2 linked regions of the Sus scrofa genome follow. The protein of the gene in region 1 purifies or fractionates together with the protein of each later gene. This does not show direct contact. Links are inferred from orthologs where the notes say so. Each region holds a gene or a part of one and is shown on either strand. Other genes may lie near its edges.

The links.
Region 2: the proteins of SERBP1 (region 1) and TSR1 purify together in Homo sapiens (affinity purification with mass spectrometry; 3 studies listed by BioGRID and IntAct, with this or other methods). This does not show direct contact. The link is inferred for Sus scrofa from reciprocal best matches to the Homo sapiens genes SERBP1 and TSR1.

The regions. Positions count from the first base shown.
Region 1 is NC_010448.4:145,192,931-145,196,748, forward strand, and holds part of SERBP1 (plasminogen activator inhibitor 1 RNA-binding protein), read left to right. Parts: intron 1-2,315; coding exon 2,316-2,493; intron 2,494-3,818. UniProt on the Homo sapiens protein: Ribosome-binding protein that promotes ribosome hibernation, a process during which ribosomes are stabilized in an inactive state and preserved from proteasomal degradation.
Region 2 is NC_010454.4:48,403,490-48,407,624, reverse strand, and holds the end of TSR1 (pre-rRNA-processing protein TSR1 homolog), read left to right. Parts: exon of another isoform or gene 1-415; coding exon 416-532; exon of another isoform or gene 533-1,138; coding exon 1,139-1,279; exon of another isoform or gene 1,280-1,383; coding exon 1,384-1,458; exon of another isoform or gene 1,459-1,588; coding exon 1,589-1,767; 3' UTR 1,768-2,119; coding exon of another isoform or gene 2,120-2,317; 3' UTR 2,318-2,661; coding exon of another isoform or gene 2,662-2,871; 3' UTR 2,872-3,319; downstream 3,320-4,135. Other genes in the region: SRR (serine racemase), read right to left, coding at 2,120-2,317, 2,662-2,871, 3,351-3,425, 3,555-3,674. UniProt on the Homo sapiens protein: Required during maturation of the 40S ribosomal subunit in the nucleolus.

The sequences.
Region 1 (3,818 bases):
TTTAAAGTACTTTGGACTCTGTAACTATACAGATTTTATTCTGAGACAGTTTATTACTAGAAGATGTGATCATTGTAAAATTAGCTCCTCCATCTCTTTGAGGGTTTTTTTCCCATCAACATAGATTTTGGAACATAATATTGGCTTGTTTTAACATGTTCGAGGAGAGCAGGGGCCAGAAGAATATGTTATCAGTTCACTAGCGTTCTTTATTATTCTTATTTTTTTTAATGGCCGCACCCACCACATATGGACGTTCCCAGGCCAGTGGTTCAATCTGAGCCATAGCAGCTGCAGCAGTGCTGGATCCTTTAACCCTCTGCACTTGGCCAGGAATCTAACCTGAGCTGCTGCATTCAGATTCTTAACCCACTGTGCCATAGCAGGTACTCCAGTTCGCTAGCTTTCTCAATCCTCTCTATTTTCTGAGTTTTTAAGTAGAAGGTGGTTTTGAAATTGTTTTTTCAAGGGTGGGAGAGTTTAGAGACTCAAATTATACTACTAGAAATAATTGAATGCCTTCCTCTAATTTCCATTGATATAAGAAGTTATATGCCAGTCATTTCCTTCAGTATGTGATTTAAATTCTTGCATTACAGATTATTTAGGTCAGTAATTTCTTAACCAGAACATATTCAGATTAGTCAGGGAGGGGGTGTTTTTCTAAACTTTTCTTTTTCTCTAGAAAGAATTGTTCTTACAGTGAACCACTATTAATGATTAGAAAACCCTATTTAGTGGATTTGATGATTTACTACTACTGGAGAGAGTAGATAAAAGTACATGATGTTAACTGATGTATGGAACTTGGGGTGATACAAGTTCATTTGTATGAAACTGGAATCTTAATTTTGTTTAATAATGAAATAGTAAGTTAAATAAACCTTTTGTAACATTAAGTACTTCACAATGCTGAACACAAATGCTGTTCCCTTAATAAAGAGCTCACCTTTAAATCACTTTAAGAGTAACCTGCTAAGATTCTACCAGAAGTAAATGATGCATTGATAGGGTGTTGGAGGCAAATTCTTAGTTCAGTTCCCAGGACTGAAATTGGAGGTGATATGTGGTCTAAAGAACATGAAGATTAGGGCAGCCTCAAGTCTTATTCCAGAATAGGGGAGAATCTGAACATAGTACTGTCTTGCAGATGCAAGTGTAAATTTAGTAAGCACAACTTCTGCTGAATTTGATCAGTTTCCTTATGTGGAGTTCCTAGAGCTGCTTTGTTTTATTTGATTCTTACAACAACCTTTGAAAGTAGGTGTTAATGGTTCCATGGTATGATAAGGGTATGCTGAATTTTGTTGTTTGCTGTGTTATAACTTATGGGTACCTGGGATTTTTTTTTGATCTTTAGTTTTCTCATCTGTAAACTGACAGGGTTGGACTTGACAGCCAAGATCTCATCAATTCACTGTAAACTTGGTCTAAGAAGTTTTAAAATAGGATTTGTCAAACAGAAAAGAGTAGTGTGGATGGGAGATATTTGAGCTCTATGGCTGACTGAATCACCTGCTATCTTTGGAAAGAAGCGGGGCTCCCAAAATAGCAAACAACTTGTTTGGTGACAATTGGAAATTGAAATGAAATAGTGGATTCCTAGGCCCATGCTTTGTTTCTGTAAAAAGGGAAAGGGATAATAAATAATAGTTAAAGCCAGAGAATTAGAAGTAACTGATTTGGTGATAAGGATTGAAGCCAGTTTGTTTTGTAGAGAGTTCTATTACTAGTGAAACTTCAGTCTTCTTTCTATATACAGTTTGGTTTGAAAGTTGGAGTATATAAATTTTAGGATTTGTAGAAATTAAAGATTTGCCTTAAGTATTAAATAAAGAATAGGGGAACAGTTCTTTTATATTTTAGAGTACGAAACTTGGTTGCTCACAGGCCTCCTAGATGATTACTTTCACATACTCACTTTATGTGTTGTGTGTTGTGGGAAATGAATGGAAATTAAAACTGATTTAGGAGAACCTAGGTTGAGGATTTTAAGCATGTGTATGTCTAGTTTTAAGGAACATGTTTTGGTCAAGCCAATTCAAGATTGTGTAACTGATAGGTGGTCACTTAAGGATTTATGAAGATGAATTGTAGGTTCCGTAGTGATCCATACTTTCACTAATTTCAATAAATGTTGAATTCCTTGTCACCGTCAAGTCATATGTTAGCCATTGGGTTTCAAAGAAAACTGATTCTCCCGGTTTTTAATAATCTAGAAGATTATCAACCAGCCAAGATTAACTTCCTTACTTAGAAGTTACATGATTTTATCAGCTCCCACCAGGTGTAAAACTTAAACAAATTTTTTACAGGGAGAACGAAGTTGAAGAAGTAAAGGAAGAGGGTCCAAAAGAAATGACTTTGGATGAGTGGAAGGCTATTCAAAATAAGGACCGGGCAAAAGTAGAATTTAATATCCGAAAACCAAATGAAGGTGCTGATGGGCAGTGGAAAAAGGGATTTGTTCTTCATAAGTCAAAGAGTGAAGAGGTAAAATGAAGTTTTGTGGTTGAAAATGTTCAGATGTGTCTTGGATTGTATTTACAATTTTTGTTTTAAGAAAATCATGTAAATAATCTGTTTATAAAAAAGAGAGACAAATTTTACATAGGATTATATGGGGCAGATAAGTTGCCTGAAAAGGAAAATAAACTGCAGTATCATATATTCTAAGAAATTAGTCCTTCAGAGTTACAACAGTATTTTTAAAAATTATATCTAACTGGGATTCATTAAAAGACTACTTTTAGGTTGAAAAGTTGGTGTTTTCGTGTGATGTAAACTGAAACTGCATATGCCATATATAATGTGTAAATGTTAGTATTCTCTTTTACTGAAGAGTGATGTCTTGTAAAGACCAGAGAATTAATTTATGGGTTTCCCTTACTTAACATGGAAGCTAGTAAGAATATTTGAGAAAGATATGCGACTTTTGATTTGGTGACTTCTACTTAAGCGTTGGGACACATTCTTAAAGGAATGTCCAACTGCTATATCCTTGTAGGGTTTTGTGTAAGTATAAGACTTAGTTGCAGAGTTAAATTGAAGTGTTATGAAGGTAACCTCTGATAAAAAGAATCAATAAAATCTTTGTACATTTTAGTTTTCTAAACCAAAAAAAATTAGCTGTGAAACAAACTTGAGAGTATTTTGAAATGAGGTTTAGAGATGATTTTTTTAAACATCGACTTCATGCAAGTATAAATGAGGACATTGGCCATTCCTATAGGAAAAGAAAAAGATTTGCTTCATTAGAAGGGTTTTGATTTTTTGTTGTTGTTCATGGAGTTAAATTGGTAAGAGTGCTTTGCAATAACTAATGTTTATAATTAGACATAGCAGAAATTGGCACAACACTGTATATTAGCTATACTTTAATAAAAAATAAGACTGTTTAATCTGCTAGTGATTTTGTGCATTTGCATTTATGTTTTAGGCTCATTTAAAAGAGCCTTCTATTGCCTTGAAATTCAGTTTAAATTTATTTAATTTTTTCATTTTCTGACTAGAGGTCACATTTATTTATTTATTTGTTTATTTTTGTCTTTTTGCCATTTCTTGGACCGTTCCCACAGCATATGGAGGTTCCCAGGCTAGGGGTCCAATCGGAGATGTAGCCACTGGCCTACGCCAGAGCCACAGCAACGCAGGATCCCAGCCGCATCTGCGACCTACACCACAGCTCACGGCAACGCCGGATCGTTAACCCACTGAGCAAGGCCAGGGATCGAACCCGCAACCTCATGGTTCCTAGTCGGATTCGTTAACCTCTGCGCCACGATGGGAACTCCCTCGGTTTAAATTTAACCTAAAGG
Region 2 (4,135 bases), on another chromosome or scaffold:
TTTTTGTGCTACAATGACAGAGTTGAATAGTTGGAACAAAGCCTGAAATAATTACTATCTGACACTTCATAGAAATGTATGCCAGTCCTTGCTCAAGACTAAGAGCTGTTGAGTTAGTGGGGTGCTTTGCTGTAAAGCACTGATTCTCAAATGAGGTAGAAGTGATGGGTATCAGAGTCACCTGAAAAACTTTTGTTCAAGCTCCAAGATTCTGCCTCCAGTTGAAAAATCACTCTGATAGGATTGAGTTGTATCTTTCGGTTGTATTGAGGCCAGAAGATATTTGGAAAACTTGTAGGATAAAGAAACACTAGTTGCCTTAGGTTTAAGAGTTGCAGTCATAATAGGCCTCTGGATTATCTATTGTTTCTCAAATTACTTTTTGGTTTTTATTTTTTAACCTCTATTATGGCAGCGGATAAACATAAATTTCAGAGATTCTTGACTGCTGACATGGCCCTGGTGGTGACAGTATATGCCCCAATCACCTTTCCTCCTGCATCTGTGCTGCTTTTCAAACAGAACAGCAATGGTAAGTTGAGTTCACAGAGATAAATAGGCCTGCAAGTCTTAATAAGTTTAAACTGCTTTATTTACATTTGGGAGCAAGGTAATGGTTGTTTTCAAAATGTCTGAATCTCAGCCTCAGAGTGGGTCTGAGGCAGGGATGACAAATAAGGTTTTATCTTGTTTGCAAACCTTGGCTAATTGGTAGAGGCTGCTATATTTAGGCTAGGTTCTGAGGACAGGCTCAGCAGGCATGTCACGTAGTCATCTTTGCCATGGACCCAGGAGGGCAGCATAGTATATCCCTTCTTTAAGATGTCCTGAATTTTTTAAAAAAGAAAGAAGGAAGGAAAGGAAAAAGGGGATTCCTGCTGTGGCACAGTAGGTTAAGAATCTGACTTCAGCAGCTTTGGTTGCTGAGGAGGCATGGGTTCCATACCCAACCTGGCACAGTAGCTGCAACTCGGATTTAGTCCCTGGCCTAGGAACTTCCATATGCTGTGAGTATAGCCATTAACGGGAAAAAAAAAAAAGATTTTTCAAAGATCTTGCATAGGTCTTTAAATAGACTGGACGCTGAATGAAGGCTTTGACTTAATAGACTTCCTGCCCCTCTGCCTTTGCCCCTTAGGAATGCACAGTCTCATTGCCACAGGCCATCTATTGTCAGTGGATCCAGACAGAATGGTCATCAAGAGAGTTGTTCTGAGTGGTCATCCTTTTAAAATTTTTACTAAGATGGCCGTGGTGCGTTACATGTTCTTCAGCAGAGGTAGGTGTGAAGGACGGGGTCTAGCTGCCTCTGTGGGGTGAGGTTGGGTTTAATTTTGTGGGTAAATGTTTCATCTTGGTCTTCTGTGTGTGTTTCATTCTAAGAGGATGTGCTGTGGTTTAAACCAGTGGAACTGAGAACAAAGTGGGGACGTAGGGGATACATCAAGGAGCCTTTAGGTAAGAGAATGTGGGATTTGGGATCTTGTTTAGATTTCCCCAGTGCTACTAAATGATGATTGGGTTAAAAGGCCACTGCTTTAAAATTGTTCTGTTTCAATTTGACCAACTAGCTCTGTTTTCTTTCTAGGTACTCATGGCCACATGAAGTGCAGTTTTGATGGGAAGCTAAAATCTCAGGACACAGTACTGATGAACCTCTATAAACGAGTTTTCCCCAAATGGACTTATGATCCATATGTACCGGATCCAGTACCTTGGGTGAAAAATGAGATCTCTTCAACAGTACCTGAAGAGGACATGGAATAATGGATTCTGTGGGCTTCTGTCTTGTTGCTGCCAGTTAGCACTCTGGGGGTGGGAGCCCGTAGGTTGTGACTGGACAGTTTGTTTTCTGCATAGGCTTAGGGGTCTCTACTCCTCTTTGCAGAAGACTTTCTTAGCCTTAACAAGGTGTCTCAGTTAAGTATCGATGTTTTTCTATCCCTACTTAGTCTGAAAACTATTAAATCTTACTGAAATGTCATTCTACATCAGGAGTTTGACAGGTGTTTAAGAGGGGAAGATTAGGAAGTTGACAGTGACCAGGAGACAGAATTTCCAGGTGTCTGTTCTAGACATTGAATCCCTTTTTGTCCTTTTGCACATATTAAACAGAATGTTAAGGAGCTGGCTTTTCAGCCTGCCTCATCCAAGCTAGGGAGGTTAAGTCTACATTTCCACCACTGAGCACAATGCAAATGTTCTTTACTTCTGCGGAAACTGTTTGAAAATGCTGAGACAGCACAGCAGCCACTCCAACACCAGCTGTAGGTTCAATAAGCAGTTTCATCCTCTCCCACACCAGCTGGGTTGCATACTGTTAATATGGAAGGGAGTAAGAATTAGTAAAATGATAGCCGGGGAAAGAGCCTAGTTGGTTGGCCTTTTAAGTTAAAGGCCAGATGAGAATATATGCCCAGTCTGAATTTTCTTATTGCTGTATGTTTGTGCTTGCCAGTGAAACGGGCAGGGCTTGCTTGCTTTCCCCCCCCCCCCCATTCAAACTACACTTCTGTTATCTTGATACATCTAGGGCACCCTCCCACATTCATGAAACCACCTAGTCAAGTCCCCAGTGGGTGAGTTGCTACTTACAAAGGGAAGGGTTTTTGCATAAGTTGCTCCATTCTTTTGTTATTTCTTTACCTCTTGGAGCCTCACCTTAATTTCATCCTCTGTGACAGTGAAGACATCATCCACAAGGTCCCTTATGATAGGCCAGGTGTTTAGGCCAATGCTGGATTTGACCCCATCTGCTATTGTGTCTGGAGGTTGAGGATTGGGGGTCAGTTCTCCTCTCAGTTTGGACTGGTAGCAGTCATCTGCATTCAAGGGTTCAGCAGCATATACCTTCACATTAGGTCTCAGAGCCTAGGAAGAGGAATATTAGATACCTTACAACTGGCCAAAGCATTTTGCCTGCATGCTTGAAGTAAAAAGTAGGCAGTACGATGATTAACACATTTCTGCCAAAGAGTCTTTTAATTGATGTAATGGAAACCGGGTCTTTGAGCACTTTAAATTGGATTCCACCATGTGTTGCCTAGAACACAGCTGGTTCTGCTGGTGACTTGGGAAAAGAATAACCCAACTTGGATTGTAGGTTGATGAGATGGAATTCAAAGAAAGGACTGTGAGATTGCCACTCACTGTAACTGCTTTTATGCTGTAAAGTTTTCATTAAGGAAGGAGTGGTGATGCAGAGAAGGGGCTTCTGACTCAAGTGCCAAGGGATGATGAGAAGGAATGGCAATTTGGAGGGAATGTTGGGCAGATACTCACAATGTACTATGATCTAAAATAAACTTCTATGCCTGAAGTGGGAAGTCCTCCAGAAGCTGTTTTCTCACCTTCACTGTAATTGCTATTCCAGCAGCCATTCCTCCTCCTCCTACCGGTACCACCAGTGCATCTACCAAGGGGAGCTTTAGTGAAAAGAATATAAATAAGTCTATTAATAACCAATTTTATGTGTGCATATAAAATAATTGGTTCTACAGCCTTAAACCCACTGTTTAGCATTACCAGTAGCTAAACAAGAGGTAAGCTTTTACCTGGTTCAGCACTTCCATGGCAATTGTCCCCTGCCCAGCTATCACTGCAGGCTCCTGATTGGGATGTACCATGGTCCCTTCTGTCTCTTCCACAATTCTTTTTGCAACATTTTCTCTGGACTGAAAGAGTACATCAATTTAGCTTTATATGTATTTAATAGCATTCCCAACAAGTTAAATTTAGTCACCAGACTGTTCCGGTACTAGGGATATAACTGAACAGAACAGTCCCTGCACTCATATTCCGATGGGATTATATGCTAATATGGTGGGGAGGGGTGGGCTATAAGTAAATATATAGTATGTCTAAATGCTTCAGAGGAAAATAAAATTATTTTATATAGGGTGCTCAGGAAGGGCCTCTGGTAAAATTTTAATAGATTTGAACAAGTCCTGTGTACCTCCAGAGTATTCCAGGGAGAGAGTAATAGCAAGGCCAAAGACCAAAGAGTAGGAGTGCTTGGCTTTCTGAGAAACTGCTAAGTTAGTGTGGTTGGTGTTGAGTGTCGATGAGATCAGGAGAATAATGGGCCAGTTCATTTAGGCCATAGATGATTACAAGGACTTTGGTTTCCACTTTG